Linked DNA regions of Sus scrofa. The protein of the gene in region 3 interacts with the protein of the main gene of each other region in a pairwise test. Links are inferred from orthologs where the notes say so. Each region holds a gene or a part of one and is shown on either strand. Other genes may lie near its edges.

Evidence for each region.
Region 1: the proteins of HSD17B14 (region 3) and SNAPC3 interact in binary tests that used the Homo sapiens proteins (3 or more experiments, as listed by UniProt). The two-hybrid records come from large-scale screens. The link is inferred for Sus scrofa from reciprocal best matches to the Homo sapiens genes HSD17B14 and SNAPC3.
Region 2: the proteins of HSD17B14 (region 3) and SREK1IP1 interact in binary tests that used the Homo sapiens proteins (3 or more experiments, as listed by UniProt). The two-hybrid records come from large-scale screens. The link is inferred for Sus scrofa from reciprocal best matches to the Homo sapiens genes HSD17B14 and SREK1IP1.
Region 4: the proteins of HSD17B14 (region 3) and CA8 interact in binary tests that used the Homo sapiens proteins (3 or more experiments, as listed by UniProt). The two-hybrid records come from large-scale screens. The link is inferred for Sus scrofa from reciprocal best matches to the Homo sapiens genes HSD17B14 and CA8.
Region 5: the proteins of HSD17B14 (region 3) and NEK6 interact in binary tests that used the Homo sapiens proteins (3 or more experiments, as listed by UniProt). The two-hybrid records come from large-scale screens. The link is inferred for Sus scrofa from reciprocal best matches to the Homo sapiens genes HSD17B14 and NEK6.
Region 6: the proteins of HSD17B14 (region 3) and MPG interact in binary tests that used the Homo sapiens proteins (3 or more experiments, as listed by UniProt). The two-hybrid records come from large-scale screens. The link is inferred for Sus scrofa from reciprocal best matches to the Homo sapiens genes HSD17B14 and MPG.

The regions. Positions count from the first base shown.
Region 1 is NC_010443.5:207,231,921-207,235,420, reverse strand, and holds part of SNAPC3 (snRNA-activating protein complex subunit 3), read left to right. Parts: intron 1-518; coding exon 519-623; intron 624-2,424; coding exon 2,425-2,574; intron 2,575-3,500.
Region 2 is NC_010458.4:43,343,453-43,347,592, forward strand, and holds the start of SREK1IP1 (protein SREK1IP1), read right to left. Parts: upstream 2,801-4,140; 5' UTR 2,624-2,800; coding exon 2,611-2,623; intron 1-2,610. Other genes in the region: peptidyl-prolyl cis-trans isomerase CWC27 homolog, read left to right, coding at 3,247-3,288. UniProt on the Homo sapiens protein: Possible splicing regulator involved in the control of cellular survival.
Region 3 is NC_010448.4:54,141,344-54,145,523, forward strand, and holds the start of HSD17B14 (17-beta-hydroxysteroid dehydrogenase 14), read right to left. Parts: upstream 2,801-4,180; 5' UTR 2,628-2,800; intron 2,268-2,627; 5' UTR 2,190-2,267; coding exon 2,102-2,189; intron 1,579-2,101; coding exon 1,540-1,578; intron 1,347-1,539; coding exon 1,264-1,346; intron 727-1,263; coding exon 645-726; intron 1-644. UniProt on the Homo sapiens protein: Catalyzes the NAD(+)-dependent oxidation of L-fucose, yielding L-fucono-1,5-lactone, which rapidly converts spontaneously to L-fucone-1,4-lactone. Can also act on D-arabinose and L-galactose, with lower catalytic efficiency. Does not use NADPH.
Region 4 is NC_010446.5:73,117,367-73,120,866, forward strand, and holds part of CA8 (carbonic anhydrase-related protein), read left to right. Parts: intron 1-2,993; coding exon 2,994-3,128; 3' UTR 3,129-3,162; intron 3,163-3,500. UniProt on the Homo sapiens protein: Does not have a carbonic anhydrase catalytic activity.
Region 5 is NC_010443.5:265,133,907-265,137,406, reverse strand, and holds part of NEK6 (serine/threonine-protein kinase Nek6), read right to left. Parts: intron 2,885-3,500; coding exon 2,744-2,884; intron 1,819-2,743; coding exon 1,756-1,818; intron 1-1,755. UniProt on the Homo sapiens protein: Protein kinase which plays an important role in mitotic cell cycle progression. Required for chromosome segregation at metaphase-anaphase transition, robust mitotic spindle formation and cytokinesis.
Region 6 is NC_010445.4:41,542,745-41,545,339, forward strand, and holds part of MPG (DNA-3-methyladenine glycosylase), read right to left. Parts: intron 761-2,595; coding exon 665-760; intron 555-664; coding exon 350-554; intron 1-349. UniProt on the Homo sapiens protein: Hydrolysis of the deoxyribose N-glycosidic bond to excise 3-methyladenine, and 7-methylguanine from the damaged DNA polymer formed by alkylation lesions.

The DNA.
Region 1 (3,500 bases), on a different chromosome or scaffold from region 3:
GTGATGCTGTGACATATTAAAGATATGACGGTATAGTTAAAAATCAAGGGTTTTAGAGTCAAACAGATCTATATTTACATTCTGACTCTCTGATTTTCCTTGAGTAAATTGGTCAACCTGAGCTTCATCTGTCAAATAGCTGTCATGGCAATACAAGAGGAGGTATGTAAGAGTGTCAGTAACTTGTAAATGCCAATGTTGTACCGACATTAGGTGATAATCCTATTTTGTCATCAGTTGCTGAGCAGTTAGTGCCAGACATCTTAATAGATGCTTTATGTATACATTTCCAACAACCGTTCTGTAAAATAAGTATTTTCTGGTTTTTTGTTTGTTTATTTGTTTACAGATGGTGAAACCAAAGTTTAGAGAGGTTTTAACGGTCTTCCTGAAGTAAAATTAGGAATCAGACCTAGGGCTCACTCAGGCTTTTGCTTATAGCCATTGTTCTATACTGCCTCTGAGCTGGGTCACAGTGGCTGATTTTAAGGTCTCTGTTAATTTGCTTCCTTCTTCAGGAATCACATGCCATGGGGAAAAAGCCTGAAAATCCAGCAGACATGATTGAAGAAGGAGAACTTATCCTATCTGTGAATATCTTGTACCCTGTTATATTTCATAAGGTCAGTGGTAAAGCCTTTTGGACTTCACATATTATGATTGTCTTTTGTCAGAGTTGAATTATTTGAAGTTGAATTATTTGACCTTAGGGTTCAAAATAAATGCAGGCATATGCTGTCTTATCTGACATTCTGTCTGTATTCTTGGGTTCTTTGTTTTATAAGGAATATCGTAAATAAGGTTAAATTTCAAGTGATCTCTTGAGTAGTAGGATTAGAGTATTGGAATATAATATACCTGATTTCTATACTAGTAGCAACTGAAAGTATACAAATCCATAGTGATTCTGATTATATGAATTCATGAGGGTTTTTGGCAGAAAAACTGGCAAAGAAGGGGGGTATTTTTTGTTCACTAGTTCAGAATTCTTGGGAGTTATTGAACTAAGGTCAGCTCTTCTTAGATGAAATTGCAGAAAGTTAACAGGTCAGGGGTATCCAGGAATTTCTTAGGGGCCTCTAATAAAAAGAACTCTATCCCCAGCCCAGAGTGTATATATTCTTGATTCCTCAAATAGATGTATCATAAACTTTGATAAGGTTTAATTGAAATTTGCTGCACGTAAATTGTACTTATGGTTAAATAGGCTTTTATGAATCATCTGGGATATAGTTAGTACTAATTATGTTGTTTGATTATGATGTCAAATTATTAAAGAAAACAAAGGAAAACTAAACCTCTGGGTTTATAACATGAAGGTAGTGTATACATTGCTTGACCTCTAGAGGTAACTTCCAGGAGAATTATGTTCAATTATAATTTATTAAATTTATAATTTAATTATATATAACTATATTCCAAAGGCTTTTTTTTGCTGACATCACTTTAGTAGCATATTGGTTTTAAACTGTAGCTTAAACTAAAAAAGTTTTATTGCTGGGCATATTAGTCCATTCTGGCTGCTATAACAAAATAGCATGGACTAGGTGCCTTATAAACAACAGAAATTTGTTTCTCACAGTTCTGGAGACTGTAAATCTAAGATCAGAGTGGCAGCATGGTCCAGTGAGAGTCCGCTTCCAAGTCACAGACTTCTTTTTTACTAAAGCACCCTCCTGTTCATGAGGATTCTACCCTGATGACCTAATCGGTCTCAAAGGCCCTACCTGCTAACACCATCACATTGAGCCTTCAGATTCCAGCATGTGAATTTTGGGCAAACATAAGCAGTCAGACTATAGCACCAAGTGTCTCAATTGTACTCCTGGGATTTTAATTTATAGAGATTACTGATGCTAGCACTAGAGGCCACTGCCATTGAAAGAAGATTTTTATTATTTGCACTTCCTCAGGGGAGGAGGTATGCTATGCCATTGCGGGCCACAGGAGAAGCACTAGTATCAGTCTGGAAACAGAAAAGATAAAGGAAGAGACATAGGCCATTGCCCTTTGGGGGGTTTCAGCAGGAATATCAAAGCAGGGCAGAGTAAACAGTTTAGGATTGGCTGGCTTGAACAATTCCACTGGGCTCTGGGGTATAGTGCTGTCCCTAGTTGTCTGGTACCGGGCTCCAATTGATTCAGGACAGAGAAAATACTGGCTTGGTATACTAGAGTTAGAGAAAGGAGATAGTTTACAGTGGGGCTCTGAATTACAGAGGAGATGGTAAACAACTTTGGTGATTAGTTTGGCCCTAAAATTGATAGATGCTGAGTAGACTAATGGCAGAATGTAAGAAAACGCAGGACACCATGTTATGGAAATAATTTACATTAAAAAAACTTAATTTAGATCTGGTCATGACAGATCTATAGTTTAGCTGCTTTGTCTCTAAGTGAACACTGATTTATTTACTGACTTTAGCACAAAGAACACAAACCATACCAGACGATACTGGTACTGGGCAGTCAGAAGCTCACGGAACTAAGAGATGCAATTTGCTGTGTTAGTGACCTCCAGATTGGTGGGGAATTCAGCAACACTCCTGATCAAGCACCTGAACACATCAGCAAAGTAAGGTGATTTTTTTTTTCTCTAACCCCCATAAAACAAAAGGAAATAATAATAAGCTAAGGAAATAGTGATTACTCTAGCAGACTCACAGACTTTCCAGTAAATGTTTTTTTCTTGTATGCCATTCAATCATGCCGATCTCTTTTCTTTATCATCAAGACCTTTTCAAAGATTGGTCTGTAGTTGGTTTTGATTTCTTCATCTCCCATTTATTTTGCAATCATTCTTCATATACTCTTCTTTTTAGGGTCATAGGACCACCTAATTGTCTAACCAATAGGTCTCTTTTCCACGTTCATACAACTTGACCTCACTATAGTATTGAACTTGACTCTTCACTCTCTTTTCTTGAAACCCCATATGAGTTTGTCTGTCATATAACTGCTCCCAGCAAAGGGTTTGGGGTCTTCCCCGAGAGCATCAGTGCCCATAGAACAAGCTGCCAGTCCAAGGACCAAAGCAAAGGGATATAGCATCTGATGTTGGTCCTTGCTGGTGTTTCCCAGGGTTTTGCTCTTAAAAGGGCAGAGAAACCCTATATTCCCATTGGATCAGGATGGAGAGGAGCAAAACTGTGGCTACTCACAGTTTTCAGAAGGGATTGCTCACCCAATAAAATAGTAGGGCCTTGATCCTTCCGAATTTCATCATAGACCAAGCTTGACCTAATTCTTTTACTTGGCACAACTCTGACGGAAGACCTCGGCTTTATTGACATGCTGAAGAGGTGCAGCATCTCCTGCAGAAGAAGATGTTTGGAACAACTAGAATGGAGATAGAGTTTGGACCAGAACCATCACAATCTCTTTTTTTTTTTTTTGCTCTTCCTTTTAACACCAGCCAGCCAAATAAATGTTGTTATAACTTAGGTTTCATCTTAGTTCTTATTCTAAATTCTTTTCCTGGGCTTCCCCCACCCCTAGCCC
Region 2 (4,140 bases), on a different chromosome or scaffold from region 3:
TTGTCCTCTTTCTTAAGAAGCACATTCCATTTTCATTACTAGACTTAAGTTTTATGAGGATCCAAGGCTGTGGCATTGTGTCCCCCAGCGTGCCTATACTATGTGGGTGCTCAAAACACTTGGTCTAATGATGAAAGCAACAGCAACAGCAGGACACCTTTGGATGGAGCTGTGGGATCACTGGGGCTAACTTGGCCCATCATGATACCTAGGTAAAATCTATTGTGCAGGCTGGACTTTATCTGCTGGCCCATTACATGTTGATATTCTCCAGGCTCCAATCACAGACCTTCCCTTCACACTCTATGCATTCCACCTGAGCAAAGGCTTTCATTTCCATGACCTTACCTCCTATCACATATGTGGATGACAACAAATTAATGTCTTCAGCTCTGGCTTTCTTCCTAAGCTACACATTGTATCTCTCTACTGCCTACTGGATATCTCCATTCCTATCTCTTACTATTAGACATTGCCATTCCAAGTCTACATGGTGACATAATCCCCAACTAAATTCATCATCCCCTTAAAAACTGTTCCTTCTCAGGTGTTGCTTATATTAGTGAATGGACCCACCCAACCACCTAACAGTGAAACCCAGGTCCATTTCAAATCTTACCACCTATGGTGAATCAATCACTGATTCCCAGTGATTCTATCACCAGAAACACATCTCTAATCTATTTGCTTTTCTCCTTTTCTACTGAGACCATTCCTGAGGCATCAATCATCATAACTTACCAGAGTTATTGCTAACTGGTGACTCTGCCTCCAAACTAGCTCTCATCCAATCTAGTGTGCAGCCAGAATGCTCTTTCCAAAATGTGTGTTTAAAAATTCTTAAATAGCTTTCTATGGTCCTTAGGAAAACATCCAAGTTCCTTGTTAGGGCTTAAAACATCCTTAAGAATTGCCTTGTAAATTAAACAAGAACATGGCAAAATGGATAAGCACACAAGGTCTAGAGGAGCCAGACTGACCTGCCCTTACTAGCTATCTCAATCAAGTTACTTGATTTCTATGTCCTTCAGTATCCTGCCAGTGGAATGGAAGAAATATTGTCTACCTAACAGTGTGGGCGTGAATGTTTCATGAGATCAAATACAAGGCTTGACACAGTGTTTGACAAATCTGACACACAGTAAATGCTTGGTAAATATTGGCTACTGTTGTTATCTCTCTAGTTAATTTCTCAATTCTCTCCCATTTGTATTCTGAGTTCCATCCACAGGGCACATCTTTCATTTCATTTCCTCTTCTCACACATTTCTTCTTCCTTTACATATTCAGTCCCTCTGGGTACAAGTTCCCCTCCCACAATTCTTCAGGTCTCATCCTAAATGCCTCATCCTTGGCAAAGTTCTTCTGGTCCCTCCAGTCTCCTGTTAGGTGCCCTTATTACATGCTCCTCAGGGCTTTGTGTTTTCACTGCAATGCGTTTGTCTAACTTTCTAGTACTTTCTTCTCACTGCTCGACTGTAAGCTCTGTGTGAAGGGCAGCTGTGTTCCTGGTGCCTAGTATCCTACCACACAATACAGCTTTAATAAAAGTTATTATGTGTATGAATGTATGTACCTTTCCTCTCCTAAAATACTGCAACCCCCCGCCCCCCCAACCAAAACTTAAGTTGGTAGAACTTCACAACTTCCCCATACAGTAAAATACAGTTCAGCACAGGCCTCCACAGAATAAACATGGTCCAATAATACTGGGAAGGGCAGGTTACAACAAAGTTAGAGTTTCTGAACCATAGCAATTCTCAATGTCTTTGCTATACTACAGTGCATCATGAATCTCCAAGTTGTATGAGCGGTGGGTGGGTGGGGGTGGGGGTGGGGATAGCGTTTATTTTTCAAAGTATCTCCTGCAACCAGTGCTCTGCAGAACCCACCTTGGCAAAGTAGGTTTAAAGAGATGCCCTCCGCTACCAGAACTTCCAAGTAAGCTAGTAGTTGTGAACGGGAAAACTCTGAAGCACTTATTTCACAGGGTTCATTGTTTTTCGGTTGACACCCCCTGGTCATGGAATCTGAGAACTGTAAGGACCCATATACATATATCAACAAATCTCCTTTTACTGATACAAAAACTGAGACCCGGAAAGGCAAAGCATCGGGTCCAGGGCCACAACGCAACTACAAAAAACAGGAAGAAAGAAGTAGAACCGCAGAGACCCATTTCGGCCCAGCGACTTTCACAACAAACAATGCCTACTTGGATCCGCCAAGTGTTGCCTCCTCAAATTTTATTTTCAAGCCTTATTAAAGTTAAAGTCAGTTTTTCTCGGCTAACAGCTTCCTAGGCCTACAGTTACTAACTAGTCCGTCTCCACCCGCCTCCCCGCGCACCCCTTCCCCCGCTCCGCCCTGTATACAGTTCCCCGTAGTCCATCCAGTGCTAGGCTGGGGCGGGGAAACAATTCCTTTCTTTCTTTCTTTCCTTTAGAGTTTATTTTTGGACTGTAAACTTCTCCAAGTAAGCCAAACGACAATGTTAATTTTAACGCCTCCGCCCTAAGGCGCTACTACTTATGCCAGCGCCCCCCAATCTACCTACCCTACCAGCTCCCTCCCTCGCCCAGACCCAGGGGCTCTACGTTTGGTCTTTACCTGGAACTGCCATGGCGCGGGGAATTGGGGTTGCAGGACCCCTAGGCTTTCGAGAGCGCGCTCGCTTACCGCTGGCTGCGGGGACAACGTACAATGACGGCCGCCGCTTCCTTCTACTCGCGTCGCGGTAGCCAGATGACAGTCGGGTAAGGCCCTAAAAGCCTGCGGCGATAGAGGAACCAAGAAGCTACTGATGCAGTTTCCGGAGGAATTGTATTGTAGACCACACACGGTCCAAACCATTACTGCCAGTTTAGGGGTAGTTAATGAGATCTACACACGCGTGTAGTAAAGTAAACAACCCAAAGACTTACAAATTTTTATTTTTTAAATTTTAATACAAGTTAAATTAATCCACGGAGGCTTAATAATATTTTATTGATTCCCTAGAGGCCATCGGAAGCCCCCTTCTCAGGATTAGCGGTGCTCGGGTCCGGGAGCAACATGGCGGCGTCCGGGAGCGGCTGTCTTTAGAAAAAGATAGGACCTGTGCCGCTGCCTTGCGGGATACTGACAGACTGGAGCTTTTCGCGACCTCCAGATTTAAGGAAGCGTGTACCGATACGTGGACTGCTTTAGTGACTCACCGTTCGCTTTTATCCCCAATTAGGAACAGCGTCCTGAGCACTGACCAACATGAGCAACATTTACATCCAGGAGCCTCCCACGAACGGGAAGGTGAGCTTCCTCTAGGGTACCTGGTCTCTCCAGAATTATCTTTCACTGGCAATTCTGGGGTCTAGGGTTAGAAGAGATTACAAGAAGCCTTGTCCTTTCCTCTGTCTCTGAATAGCATTGCATCGAGAACCATACACTGGCACTTCTCAGCACATAATTGAAAAAGTCTTCAGGTGGCGATTTCTTTATTAAACTTCTGGCCCTAATTTGTGCTTTAACTTAGCTCTGCAGGCGTTTTCTAGGGTCGTAGGTAAAAAGCCAAGGTGTTTTAAAAGTTGACTTTTTTTTTTTTTTTTTTTTTGGTTATCTCGTTGATGATTTTTTCTCTGTTAGTTCAACAATCCTTTTTTTGAATGTCTGCTAGGCACCAGGCACTGTACTAGGTACTGGGGATACCAAAATGGATGGATAAGCGCTAGTTGTTGCCCAAGAGGGGTTTATGGTTTAGTTTGAGAGGCAGGCTGGTTAAGAAAAACCTTATGATATGTTTGATAGGAAGGCTATGGCGAGAGGAGCTAGCCTATTGCTATGGTAGTACTGAGAAGTTAGCAACTGGAAACTAGGGAAAAGCTTCATGGCAGAAGTATTTTTGGAGCTGGTCTTAAAACGTGAGCAGATTATTAATGGGAAATGTTCCCATATAAGAATGATTTTCTGATTGATTTTGATGGTCAAGAATGTCATTTCCCATCCAGTGTTTATATGCAGTATGAGCAGGGTCAATAATGGAATAAGTATCACCTGAATTCTTGAAGTGAGACCTAGTCTCTATCAGACACAAAATATGATGAACCAGCATAATGGAAAAAATAGTGAAAATGAAAGTGTGTAAGTGTATTAAGATGAAGTAAA
Region 3 (4,180 bases):
TCACAGTCACAGAAAAAAAGAGCCATCCGCCTCACTTTAAAGAAACTGAGGTTGGAGTTCCCTGGTGGCTCAGCAGACTAAGGACCTGGCATTATTGCTGCTGTGGCGCAGATTCAATCCCTGACCCTGGAACTTCTGCATGCCATGGCCAAAACCAAACCAAACCAAACCAAAACGGAGGCTGCAAGATGGACGCTGTCTGCCCAAGACAGTTAGGGTGATTAGGGGGCTGAGCAGTGACACAATTTTTTTTTTTTTTAGGGCCGCACTCGTGGCATATGGAGGTTCCCAGGCTAGGGGTCGAATCGGAGCTACAGCCTCTGGCCTACATCACAGCCACAGCAATACGGGATCCGAGCCGTATCTGCACCACAGCTCACAGCCAGATCCTTAACCCACTGAGCAAGGCCAGGGACTGAACCCGCAACCTCATGGTTCCTAGTCAGGTTCATTTCCTCTGCACCATGACGGGAACTCCGCCCAGTTACACTATTTAATACTCTCAACACCCTGTAATGGCAAGGACAGTGGTGGTCATTGTCATTTTAGAAATGTAGAAACTGAGGCATAAAGAGGTGGCGGCACAGGCCTGGGGACACAGAGCAGCAATGGGACAGAGCCCGGGAAGCGGGTTGACAACTCACGGGAGCCGGCGTTGTTGACCACACAGTCCAGGCGGCCGAAGCGGCGGATGGTCTCAGAAAGAGGGTCTGAGGAGAAAGCTGTCTTGTGAGTGAACAGCATTGGCGCCCCTGCTGGGCTCCCCCAAGTGAGACGTGGCAGAAGCGGAGTCACCGCGGAGGGGACAGGACATTGTGGGGGCCGACCCCAAATCGCCAGGCATGGCAGGAGATGAGGAGACTGGACGCCAGGGTGCCAGAGACCAGAGGGCTGGTGACACACACCCTGAGCTCACTACTCCAGAGACCCAGGAGGGTGGGGGATGGGGGAGCAGATGAAGGGAAGGGGAGAAACCCTGGGAGAAGGAGAACTCTTACTGGATCCAGATCATGTGACAGGAGGGACCAGGGGCCTTGAAGGCCTGGGAGATAGAGGAGAATCTTCTCGGCAGACACAGGACGTGGCCAGCCGAGTTAGGAAAGCTTTGCGATGAAACTGAGCTGAGACTCTGGGGGCAGGTGTCATTTAGCCAGGAGATGGGGAAGGGTAGAGGGAATAGCATGTGCAAAGCCCGGGGTGAAGGGAGAGAGAGAACGATTGGAGATTGAGGGGGACGGGGAGGGACAGAAACTACGCGCTCACCTTCACATCATCCTCTTGAGTCACGTCACAGAGGACAAAGACAGACCCAGGCAGCTCCTGCTCCAGGGTCCGACCAGTGGACTCTGCAGGAAGAGAAGGGCTGGGGGCTGGAGCCTGGGTCTCAGAGAGGAGGGGCTGGGGGCCCAGGATCCTGGGTCTGAGGGAGGAGGGCTGGGGCTGGATCCTGGGTCTGAGGGAGGAGGGTGCTGGGGCCTGTATTCTTCTTGAATCTAAGGGAGGAGGCAGTGGGCTGAGGACTGGGGGACCCTCACTCACCGTCTTTGTCACAGATCACCACCTGGGCGCCACTTTCCACTGCGAATAGACAGGGAATAGGTTAGCCCTGCAGAGACCTTGGTGAAGATCTCTGCTGCCCTCTGTGGCCACCCGGAACAGGGCCGTTCCCCCCCCACCACCGCCCCAGCTCTGTTCCCCTCGTGACCCCAAAGTCTCATGATGATCCCGTAGGGCAAAAGGCAGAAGCCTAGCCTTCTCCTTGGCTATTCCAGGTGACTTCTGGGGCTCCTGAGTCTCCATCCCTGGGTTCTAGAGTAAACCCTAAACCTCCAAAAGACATATTCCTTCAACCACCACCCCCGGCCCCCCATTCTGTAGCAATAGCTGAGACCCAGAGAAAGGGAGTCAATGGCATTTGAAAATCCGCCGCAATCTCAGGCCCCAGGCCACCTCTGCCTTCCCTTCGTTAACTTTGCAAATTGGATTTTACGAGACAAGAATCTAGATTCCAGTACAGAAGATACTTCGTCCCACACCCATTAGCCCCCGGGTCCCTCCGCTCCCAGACTCCACTGTTCAGAGCCGACCAGACCCCACTCACCGAAGGCTCGGACGATCCCAGCTCCGATGCCGCGCCCGCCCCCCGTCACGATTACCACCTTCCCGGCATAGCGCGTTCCCGTTGCCATCCCGCGTCAGAAGGTCTCCTTCGGCCACTCACTCACACTCACTCGAGGCTTCTATCCCCCTCTGAAGTCCGGTGAGGTCTTGGGGTCGAACCATAAATAGGGGCTGGATCCTGAAGCCCGGCCCCGGGGGCGTTGCCAGGAAAGCCAGAAGCCTGGAACTTGGCCCCAGCCCCCTCCTCCCTCAGACCCAGGAGGCCGGTCCCCCAACCCTCAAACTCGGGATTCCTGGAGTCCGGCCCCCTCTGCCGGACCTTGGACTCCAAAGTCCAGGTCCCGGGTCCTCTCTTCCTTCAGACCCAGGAATCCAGGTCGCCGGCCCCCTCCTCCCTCAGACTCAGTAATCCAGACCTCGAGCTCCCCCCGTTCCTCTGACACACAAAGCTGAGTCCGCTGTCCCCTCCTCCCGCGGGACCCAGGAGTTCACCACTCCAGCTCTACCTCTTCGAGACACCGGTGTCACAACTCCAAACAGACAGAAAGTTATCGACTAAGAGTTCAATGTTTTAATCCAAATTTGGACAAGTATTGGGAAAATCAAACTTTGGCCAAAGTAGCCACTCCTCGGCCACCGGGAGGGGACCAGATCACGCCCTCAGGTGAGGGAAGAGGCTCCATCTGTCCCGGAAGTACCTCCGGGACACGCCCTCCAGCTCTGATTGGCTGCCCTGCTTGGGCGGGTCAGAAGCTGGACTGTAGCAGCGTGACTCTCAGAGGCCACGCCTCCTCGTCTGGGGTTAGCGCGGGAGGGGCGGTCCCGGAATCCCAGGTCGGCTCCCAAGAGGCCGGGCCTGCGTCGCGCCCAGTCCCTCGGTGGGAGAACCCCGTGGAGTGGGAACTGGCCACTGGAGGAGATCTTGGGGGCGAGGACACGCAGGGCGTGGGATCTGACGGAGGTGGCGACGCAGGGGGAAGAGGGTCTCCTCGAGAGTCCAAACTGCCACCTGGAGAGGACGGACGGAGAACGAGAATGGCAAACTTTGGGACCCAGAAGTCCCGACACCCAGGACTTTCCTCTCAAACCTAGGAGTCCAGGCTCCCCGTCCTCTCCTCCCCAGACACGGCAGTCCTGGGATCCAGTCCCCTCCTACTGGGGTCTGGAACCCCCAAGCCCTGTCCAGCTCTTTCTTTACCAAGGCAGAGGGTTTCTGGCGGTCGTCGGACCCCCCTCCCCACCAGGACCTAGGATTCCGGGCCTCCAGACTCCCTCTTCCCTAACACCCAGGAGCCCAAGGTCCCCAGCCCATTCTCACCTGTCATCATTCGGTGCCACTGTGACGCCTCAGCAGCCAAGGCTTGAGAGAGGCTGAGAACTCGCTCCCGGTGACCCTCAGATGTTGGTAAATAAGGGGTCGTGTTCCTCGGACTAGAAAAAAGAAGATGCAGGGGTGGCCTTGAATAATTTGCCTGTAAGGTGAGGACCACGGTGCAGAGCGTGTCCTTCTGGGAGTTGTAGTCCCTAGCATATGGCTCTAAAGGATTTTGAACAGGGCGAGACCCTCTTTTTAAGTCTGCGTGCATTATGGGATCTGTAGTCCAATTGCCCGAAAACTTCCCGACAGAGGAGCAGAGTTTGACAGCAACGGTGGAACCGCTGTGAACTAGGGCTTTCTCATTCCCCAGGAATTCAAGCGTCTCTGAAATGTTCTGCCATCCATACCCTGGTACTCAAGAGTACTCAGGAGACATTAATACTTAATGCTACTCCTCACCCTTTTGTTGACTTTCTTGCTTCTAGTTTGGATCTCCAATTCCTTACCTGCTCCAGGACCCAGAGCTTCTGAGCCATTTCTGGCTCCTGAGTGTCCCAGGGCAGGCTGCAAAGGAATTGGAGCATTAGAATTCCTCCCCCAGGAAGCCCTCACGTCCTCATTTTGAGGATGAAGTGAAGGAGCTTAGCGAAGAGAGAAAATTGCCCCCCCCCAAACATGGCAAATGTCTTTTTTTTTTTTTTTTTGTCTTTTTTGTCTTTTGTCTTTTTGTTGTTGTTGTTG
Region 4 (3,500 bases), on a different chromosome or scaffold from region 3:
ATTCAGTATTTCCACACATCTCAGTTCAGACCAGCCTCATTTCAAAATGCCTGTGGCCACACGGGGCTGGCTGGTGGCTACTATATTGGGCAGTGTAACTCTAGGGTTTTTCTCTCTCTCCTGGAAGACACTCTCTATTCCTTTCTTAACAGTGTGTTCTTTGGGAGTTCCCTGGTAGCTCAGCAGGTTCAGGATCTGGCATTGTCACAGCTGTGGCTCGAATCACTGCTCTGCCACGTGAACTTTTGCATGCTGGCCTGGGAACTTCTGCATGCTGTAGGTGGTGCAGCCAAAAAAAAAAAAAAAAAAAAAAAGGAAGGAAGGAAGAAAGAAAATGCATTGTTCTTAAGGGTCTCGTAAAAAGATTTTTGTGTATTTCTTCTGTGTCTTGCATGATATCAAGCACTTGCCATGAGGTCACAGGCTCCATTGTCTCTTGTTCTGGAGTTAGTTTCCTTCTGTGTGGCTCCTGAGTAACCATCCTAATGATGGGAAGACAGCGACAGAGACCAGGGCTGGGAATTGGGGAAAGAGGAAAGTTTACATCACTCTTCTTGGGGAAAGAATGTTCTTTTCTCTAAGACCTTGCTCCAAAAAAAAAAAAAAAAAATTTAGATCTAATTAAGGAGTGATCATTGACAGAATGAGGCTTTGGTTTAGGGATGGGAGGTCAGGAAGAGAGAGCAATGCTGTTAGAAAGAAAGATAATGCGATAGGAGAAAATGAAACAAAAATAGCAAGGCTGCAGTCCATGAAAAGTGGAGAGATGTACGCATGTACATACAATCCCCTTAATATATATACATATATAGACTGTTTTAAGTGCAGTTTGCCTTCTTCCTTCATTGCTACCATGAGGAATTATATTCCTTTAATTCATGTACAATCATTGGCTGGTGATAAAAGAAAAGAAGATGAGGACTCCAAACTTTCATGTGTTATTTTGCTCTTTCAACATGAGAACACATGAGATGGGTCTATAAGTAGATGTGTATGGGACCTCAGGAACTGCTAAAAAAAAATGAGTGCTGAACCTCAGACCCTGGTACTTAGCCCTTTAAAGGCAGTCATGAAGAAAGCCATTTGAATGCTGAACTTTGGACAGTCTGGTTCTTGTATCAGTGAGAGCTGGAATCAACGTCTTAGAGCAGCTGGAGCGCCGTCCGGGTTCGGGGAACAGTGGCTGCTTAGTTCTGCTACCTTCACAAGAGGAGGATTTGTCTCGGAAGAGTCGGGTCTCTGTCCTCCCATCACTCTTTTAAATTGGCTGAAAACAAATACCGTGTGTAAGTAGAGTAGCATTAAAAGTCGATGAAACCATACGTCCTCCCGTCTGTGATAACGATAGTCTCTATGGCCCTGACATTTGAATTTGGCTGAGGACTTTTATCCTAGAATATTATTCTGTTCATTTCTCATCATCTCTCATTTCAGCGTGGGCCAGCGAGGGGCACGCTTGAAACCATTTGAAGTGACTAAAGGGTTCAGGGGGGGTGACTTCAGAAAAATTGGCATTTCTGAGAGATGTGTTTTTCCCTCAATCTCTGTTGATGTTTGAAGTCTTCAAAGCATTGCTCTGATCAGAGAAAAACATTTCTTGTGAAATAGTTCTCTCCAAGAAGGCAGTGATTTGAGACTGGCTGGCTGTTGATTCAGATCTTCTCTTTGAGAAGCAGTTGTTTTCACAGAATGTGCTTTAGGGTGAGTCCTGGGGCTTGAAAGATTTATCTTCAGTTCAGAATACGTAAATATAAAGTTAACCTAGCTTTAAAATAAGCTTCAAAGTCAATAAAAAAAAGTAGAAGTGTTTCTTGAACTATGTTGAGGCTGTGAAGTTTCTAGTCCCCAGTGCTGATCAGCGACCCTGTCTGTGATTTATAGATCCTGGCTGTAAACTGCAGCTCTTACATGATTTCATGTTACGGGAACAGGAGGAGAGGGGACCTTTTGTTTTCTCAGTCAACTGTTTTATTATTTTCAGTCTACTTTTTGCATATAAAATTGTAGCTGGATAATTATCTCAAAGTGCTGAAGGTTTGAGTTCAAAAGAAGTTGTATGATTATTTATTTATTTATTTATTTATTTTGTCTTTTTTGCCATTTCTTGGGCTGCTGCTGCGGCATATGGAGGTTCCCAGGCTAGGGGTCTAATAGGAGCTGTACACCACCAGCCTACGCCAGAGTCACAGCAACACGGGATCCAAGCTGAGTCTGCAACCTACACCACAGCTCACGGCAATGCCAGATCGTTAACCCACTGAGTAAGGCCAGGGATCGAACCTGCAACCTCATGGTTCCTAGTCGGATTCGTTAACCACTGCTCCACGACGGGAACTCCTGTATGATTATTTATTGAGCATCTCCCAAGTACTTGGCATGAGGCGGAGTGATTTTCATGAATGATCTCATTTGCTTCTTACACCAGCTCTGAGAAGACTCTCATCCTCATCTCCATTATACACAGGTGGAAACTGAGCTGAAAAAGGTGGAGTGGTTTGGTGGTTTGGGTCTTAGGACAAGAATCAGCCTCTGGATGCAGTCTTACTGCCTTTACTTTCATCGTCTTCTTTTTGAAAAAGCATAGACTCCTCTAACAAAGCAGCCTCCTTCCAGTCCTGTCTGAGGGAAGATCAAGAAAAATGCATCCCACGGATAATCACAGGGAATTCTCCTGGAGTCTTGACTCCAGATGTTTTCCTGATGCAACAAACAAATGGCCTCGCTCAGTGGGTTAAGGATCCGGTGTTGCCGCAAGCTGTGGCATAGGTCACAGATGAGGTTTGGGTCTGGCATTGCTATGGCTGTGGCATAGGCTGGCAGCTGTAGCTCTGATTCGATCCCTAGCATGGGAATTTCCATATGCTGTAGGTGTGGCCCTAAAAGAAAAAAAAATTCTTGTTATGTGTGCATATTTTAAGTCACTTGGGAAAGCCCAATCTTGTTCATGCCTTACTAATAAATGATTAATTTATTTTGTTTGCTTGCATTTTCAGATTGAAGAATTTCGAAGGCTGAGAACACACGTGAAGGGGGCAGAGCTTGTGGAAGGCTGTGATGGGATTTTGGGAGACAACTTTAGACCCACTCAGCCACTCAGCGACAGAGTCATTAGAGCTGCATTTCAATAGCCAACGACAGTGGACCCGGTGTGTCTCCATCCGGGTATGTGTGGATTAAGTAAGGAAAATGAGGCACACGGCTAAGCTTGTCACACCAAAGCCACACTGATGATCCTAATAACTTAGCAATATGAGGACCACACTTCATTATTTTATTTTATTTATTTTATTTTATTTTATTCTTGTTTGAAGGCTTCACACGAGACATATGGAGGTTCCCAGGCGAGGGGTCAAATTGGAGCTGTAGCTGCCAGCCTTTGCCACAGCTACAGCAACGAGGGATCCGAGCCCAGTCTGCAACCTGCACCACAGCTCACGGCAATGCCAGATCCTTAACCCACCCAGTGAGGCCAGGGGTCGAACCTGCATCCTCATGGATCC
Region 5 (3,500 bases), on a different chromosome or scaffold from region 3:
TAGTTCTCTGGTGGCTCACTGGGTTGAGGACTCAGCGCTGTCACTCAGGTTTGATCCCTGACCTGGGAACTTCCACCTGCCACGGGTGCAGCCAAAAAAAAAAAAAAGTGTGATTTGTGATTTGAAGGGTATATTTGGACCTGTGATAGCTGGAGTTGTGGGCACCTCTCTAAGAGCCTCTTGCCTCCAGCCTTGCCCCTGGGACCCATCCCCGCCAGGGGCCACCCCAGTGAGCACTCACAGCTTCCCCTTGGCTCCAGCTCCTGGCTCTTGGTCACTTCAGCCTCACCCCCAATTCCCACGTTCAAGTTCTGAATCCTGAGTGTGGCATTCAAGGCCACCATGACCCGTCCCCGAGCCACACTGTCGGGGTTCCTGCAGCAGGCTCCTCTCAGTCTTCCGGATTCTGAGACGGGGGTCTGGCCTCTGAAGGGTCTTCCTGGGGTCCCCGGGTCAGTTGGCATCACAGTGGACAGTCACCATCTGCTGCCCTGTCTATTCCCCTTCTGTCTGGGGGTCCCCGAGGCAGAGGCCCAGGCCTGACTGCCACCAGCAGCCCCCCCTTTATAGGAAGCTACCAAGCAAGCTCTCTGTTTCGTGGGAAGAGGGGAGGACACCAAGTCAGCGCCTACTGTGTGCCCTACTGCGCCAGGCCCGCTTCAGATGCGATTTTATTTCATCTTCTCAATCTGCCTGTATCTTTTGAGGCAGGTATTCTCGCCATGGAGCCGCTAGGCAAACTGAGTCTCAGGGAGGTTAAAGCATATGCTTAAGGTCACGCAGCCTGTAAATGAGGATGCTGGTGTTTGAACCCAGGCTCTGGGGCCTCCAAATCCCATACGCATTTTCCTCCTCTGTCACCGACTAGTTCTCCGGCGGGATCCTAAGCCTGGGGAGGAGGGACGATGGCCAGGAGAGCAGCCCCAGGCTCAGTCTCATCCAGAAAGTTCCGTTATCTCTGACGCTGAGGACCCCAGCGGGGAAGCCAGAGGGGAGGGGAAAAGGGCCCCAGACGCCACCATCACAGGACCATGTCCGTCAGCCGTGCCCTGGCTGAACCAAGGACTTCCGCCTGCAGAGGGGCGGGCGCATCAGCTACCCCCTTGGGGAGACCCCTCCCCAGCTGTGCACCCTGCCTCCTCCTTGTGGGAGGCCCGGCGAGAGCCCAAAAGGCTGACAACTCAGGGACCGGGATCCTGGACCCCTCCAGCCCCCAGAACCTGGGGTCACGGGCTTAGCTGTCAATGCTGCCCAGCGCCCCAGGCAGGCTTTGTGGGAGTCTCCCCAGCAGAGAGCATCTCCTGGGGGGGGAGCAAGAGGATGGGGGTGGAGAGAGCACGCTGGGGCTGAATAGCCACATGTGTGTGCCGCCACGTGGGAGTACGAGAGAATGAGGCTGAGCGCAAAGAAAGAGAGAGAAGGAGACAGACAGACAGGCAACCTGCAGTCCCACCCAACGCCCAGCCTCCCCTGCAGCAGCCACGTGATCTGGCTGCCTTAGGGCAAGGGCTATTCCAGGCTCTCCCATCCACATCCAGGATGCACGTGGGACAAGGACAGCCAGCCTGGGGGCACCCTGAGGACTGGGCAGAAGTAAGGTGGGAGTTCCCGCCCAGCCACAAGAAAATGAACAAGCTGCTGCCTCTCTAAAGTAAGTCATTTCTTTACCTAACGGGCTAAGGGCTGTAATGGCCATGCGGTGGCCCAGCCTGGCCCATGGAAGTGAGGGGCTCCCACTCGGCCCAGGCCACTCACCTTCAGGAGGCCGATCTCCTTGACACAGTCCTGCCTGGCCTTGGCATCCATCATCTCAAATATCTTGGGGGAGAAAAAAAACAGAGAAAGAGTGGTTAAAACCTAGCACCCAGCACCCCCAGTCCGGGTTCTCCCACCTCCTTGCTGAGGGAACCCTATAAGGACAATGATTTGGGTTATTGAGTTTTTACTACCTGCCAGGGGCGGTTTTCACCGAATCATCACTGTACCTCCCATGAGGCAGGAGATACGGTCACCAACTTACAGAGGAGGAGAGCGAGGCCCCAGAGAAGTGCAGTGACTTGCTGAGGTCATGCACTGGTAAGTGGCAGGCAGGAAAACACGCTTGAAGCCTCAGTCTTCACCTCTGTAAATAGGGCCAACAGCCTGGGCTCATAGGGCGGTTGTGTGGACTGAGTAGGAAGAGGGGGTACAGTACACGGCCCCTGACGCCCCAGCCCCTTTAGTGTTCACTCCGCGTGGGTCCTCCCAGCACCTGCTAAGACACAGGAGGTGGTCCCTGCAGCAGCCCCACCACAGAACCCATCCTGGCACTAAGAACCAACACCAGAGAAGCCCAGAACCGACCAGAGAGGGCCAGCTGGCTGCAGAGCTGCGTCTCGGCTTCCCCTTAGCTCCCTTGGGCCCTGCTGGGTCACCCACCACCTCTGAAGGATGGGATGGTGATCCCTACCTAGAAGACTGCGGTCAAGGTTCGGGGAGCTCTGGCACCACCCAGTATACAGCAGGTGCTCAGCGCATGCTCACTGCTCTTCTCCTTTATGGTTCACTCCACCTGATCCTCCCAGAGCCCAGTGGGCGAAGTGGGTACTAATTTCCCTCACTTACAGAGGAACGGGAGAGAGTGGGGCGGGGAGGGCGAGGGGGACAGAAGGACAGAGAAGGGACAGGGTGAGCCCAGAAGTACAGTGTTTAGACACGAGCCGGCTGCCAATGGGGTTCTGCCCCCACGGAGCGGTGGGCTCACCTGCACCTTCTTCAGAGCCACTGTCTTCCTGTCCAGCAGGCAGGTGGCCTTGTACACCTCGCTGAACTGGCCTCGGCCGATCTTCTTCTCGATCTGGAAGTCGGCCAGCGAGCAGCGAAAAGACAGGGCATTCGGGTGCCTCTGGAGGAGAGGTACAAGAGGGCACTGGTGACGAGCCAGGCAGACTGGAAGGCTGGGACCCGGGGGGGGGGCAACGCCCCCTCCAGGCCCCTCATCGCCAGCTCCACTCTCAGAGCGCCCCCGTGGCGCTCTCCGCACCCGCTCCACTGGGTCCCAATGACCCCACTGTGCAGATGGGGCTTCCGCCACAGCACTCGTCACCGGCCCTCAGCATCTGGTCACTGCTCCCTTCTCCATCCCCGGAAGGCAGCTCCATGGGGCCAGGGCCTCACCTGCCTGTTCACTCCTGAGTCTGGCTAGCAGAGCAGGTGCAATAAACATTTAAGGAGGTGACTCTCCCAAGTCACCCAGCGGAGGGGAGGCCCTGCGGGGTTTCTCTGGCCCCGTGGCCTCCACGTGCAACCGCAGCCCTAAGCCTGCACGTCATCGTAAGCAGCAGCCACGTCCCCTCCAGGGATGGCCATGCCCACCTCAGAGATGAGAAAAGGAGAGTTAAATTTGCAGTCTTACACGCTGAGCCCATTCTTTGGATCAACTGTCCCCTTTCTGGCAATGGGAAGAATCCGGAGACCTCATGATGACCCACTAGGGACCAGCACTGACAGCCACGATGAAA
Region 6 (2,595 bases), on a different chromosome or scaffold from region 3:
CCCCTGATTCTCTGCATCGGCCGCTCTGGCCTCCACCCAGGGTGGAGTGTGCCCAGAGCTGGGATGGCCAAAGATGGCTGCGGGCATGGGCTCCCATTCCCCAGGGGGGCAGGACCTGTAACCGGCCCCCTGGCAAGGCTCCTGCCCCAGCCCAGCTCACCCCGAGTGATCTCGCCCCGGCGTCCCCCGGCATCGGCCCCTCTGAGGCCGCACTGGGCAGGCGGTGGGCTCGTGGGACCCTCTGGCTCCGTGCTCACGCCCCCCGTGACCCCTGTTCCCCGGGAGCCCCAGCCTGGCCCAGCGAGGGTGCTCCCTGTGCCCCTGCCAGCCCCCGCCCAGCTGCGCTCACCCCGGCTGGAGACGTTCATGCAGAAGTACATGCCGTAGATGAGGTACACATACAGGGTGCCCGGCCTCATGAACATGCCGCGGTTGCGAGGTGTCTGCCGGCCCCCCCTCGAGTGGGCAGCCTGGTCCTCCGGCCCCAGGTACGCCTCCGTCTCCACGATGCGCCCACGGAGCTCGGTGCCGTCCCCCAGGTGTCGCACCAAGACCTGCATGGGGCAGTAAGGAAAGGCCCGTTCCATGCTGTCCACAGCCCGGCTCGCCCCCCAGGTCCCCCACACTGTCCCCTCGGCCCTGCTGGACGGCAGGTCCTGCTCACCGAATGTCTGGTCCGCAGGGTGCGGCCTTCCTGGGCTTCATCACCCGGCCTGACTGCAGAGGACACGGCCCGTGGCACCCCGCCCGGCCCCCGGCCCTGGCAGAGGGAGCTCCATGAGGGGTGGGCTGGGGAGCACCTGGGAGGGGAGAGGGGCCAGCCCAGCACAGGGCAGAGCTCAGTGGCCAGGGGCTGTCCCTGGAGGGCTGGGCGCCCGGGCCAGCAGAGCAGGGGAGCCGGGCAGGGCCTGCGGAGAGCCCCTGCACTGGGAGTCGAAGCCTCCACACCCGGAACCCCTCTGCCCCCCTTCGCCACACAGCCCCCCAGCACGGGGGGTGGTGCAGGCCGGGTGGAGGAAGGCCCAGAAGGCTTGTGGGCATTCACACGCTGGGCTGGGCCAGGCCACCTCAGAGCCCTGGTCAGAGGGGCCACTCCTCCCCGCGTCCCTGTGCCTCCCAGGCCCTGTCCTTGCCATCTTGCTTCCTGTCCCGAATGTCACCGAGGTCCTTTCCGGAGGGCGGGTGTTCTGGTTGCCCCGCCCCCAGATGTCCCCTTGCTGGTGGCGGGCCCAGAGAGGGAGCACCTTCTCAGACCAGAGGGGACACCAGAGTGGTCTGGTTGTCGCTGGCTGCTGCCTGCCATGATCTGCTTGAGGACAAGGGCATGACTCAAGCCCAGTCAAGGGGGCTGCGAGGACATTCCCTGGGGGCCCTGAGAAAGCCCCCTCCAAACAAAGGGGCACACGGGGTGAGACGCTGCCTTCTCTGCCGGGCACTGCCCTGTCCACCCCTTGTTGCTCAAGCAAGTGTGGGAGCCTAAGGGGGGACACAGAGGCCCTTGGGCTGGTGACCTGTTGCAGTCCCCGCCTACCACCTTAGGTGCTAACTGTACAAAATGAAAAAGCGGCAAGACAAGAAAGGCTGGAGGAACAGCTAAACTGTAACACCGTCGCTTGTATCTGCCCTGTTTCTTACTCCATCGTGAACCGCCCTGTGCTAAAAGCAGAACGTGCTAAAAAGAGAAACCACCCCTTTTCCTTTAACAAGCTGCTCCCGAAGCTGCGGGAAGCCTGGGTTCACTGCCCAGTGCTCCCCGCCACTCTGCTGGCCGATAACCCTGCCTGGGATCTCACTGCTCCCGTCTCTACCTCCTCCTACCCTCGCTGTTTCTAACCCGCCACGAGCCGTTTCAGGTGAGTCCCTGAACCCTCCTTAAGGCGCTGGAGAAGGACCTCCCGGGCTTGCAGCTGAGAGCATCCTTCTGGGAACACACTCCGGTCCCTTCTTGACTACGTCACACCTTAGGATCTGTTCCTGGCACCAATCTCCCATTAGCCACAGAAACCGACTCTCCTTGGTCCTTTGGACCTAAAGGTCACAGAGGAGGAGCTCCCGTGGTGGCACAGCAGAAATGAATCTGACTAGTATGCATGCGTGAGGATGCAGGTTTGATCCCTGGCCTCGCTCAGTGGGTTAAGGATCCAGCGTTGCCGTGAGCTGTGGCCTAAGTCACAGGCGGCTCAGATCTGGTGTTGCAGTGGCTGTGGTGTAGGCCAGTGGCTGCAGCTCCGGTTTGACCCCTCGCCTAGGAACCTCCCTATGCTGCGGGTACAGCCCTCAAAAGACAACAAAAGAGAGAAAAAAAAGAACAGAAGAGGGGTGCCTTGGAACCTCCAGGAGACCAGGAAGCCAGGGCTAGCCAGATGGTGCTCCGAGGGATGTGGCCACAGTGCTGCTGCTAGGGCACCTTCACGGTACACATTGCGTGGTGACAGGCTCCACCCCCACAGGCCCCAGGCAATCCTGCTCCCTGCTCCATGCTGGGGAGCTAGCCCTGGCACTGCCAGCTGCTGTGGGGAGGAGGCGGTCTCGACCGTCCTGATGCTGGGCAGCTCCAGTAGGGGCCCTGTGTCAGGGCACAAGGCGGGCAAAAGC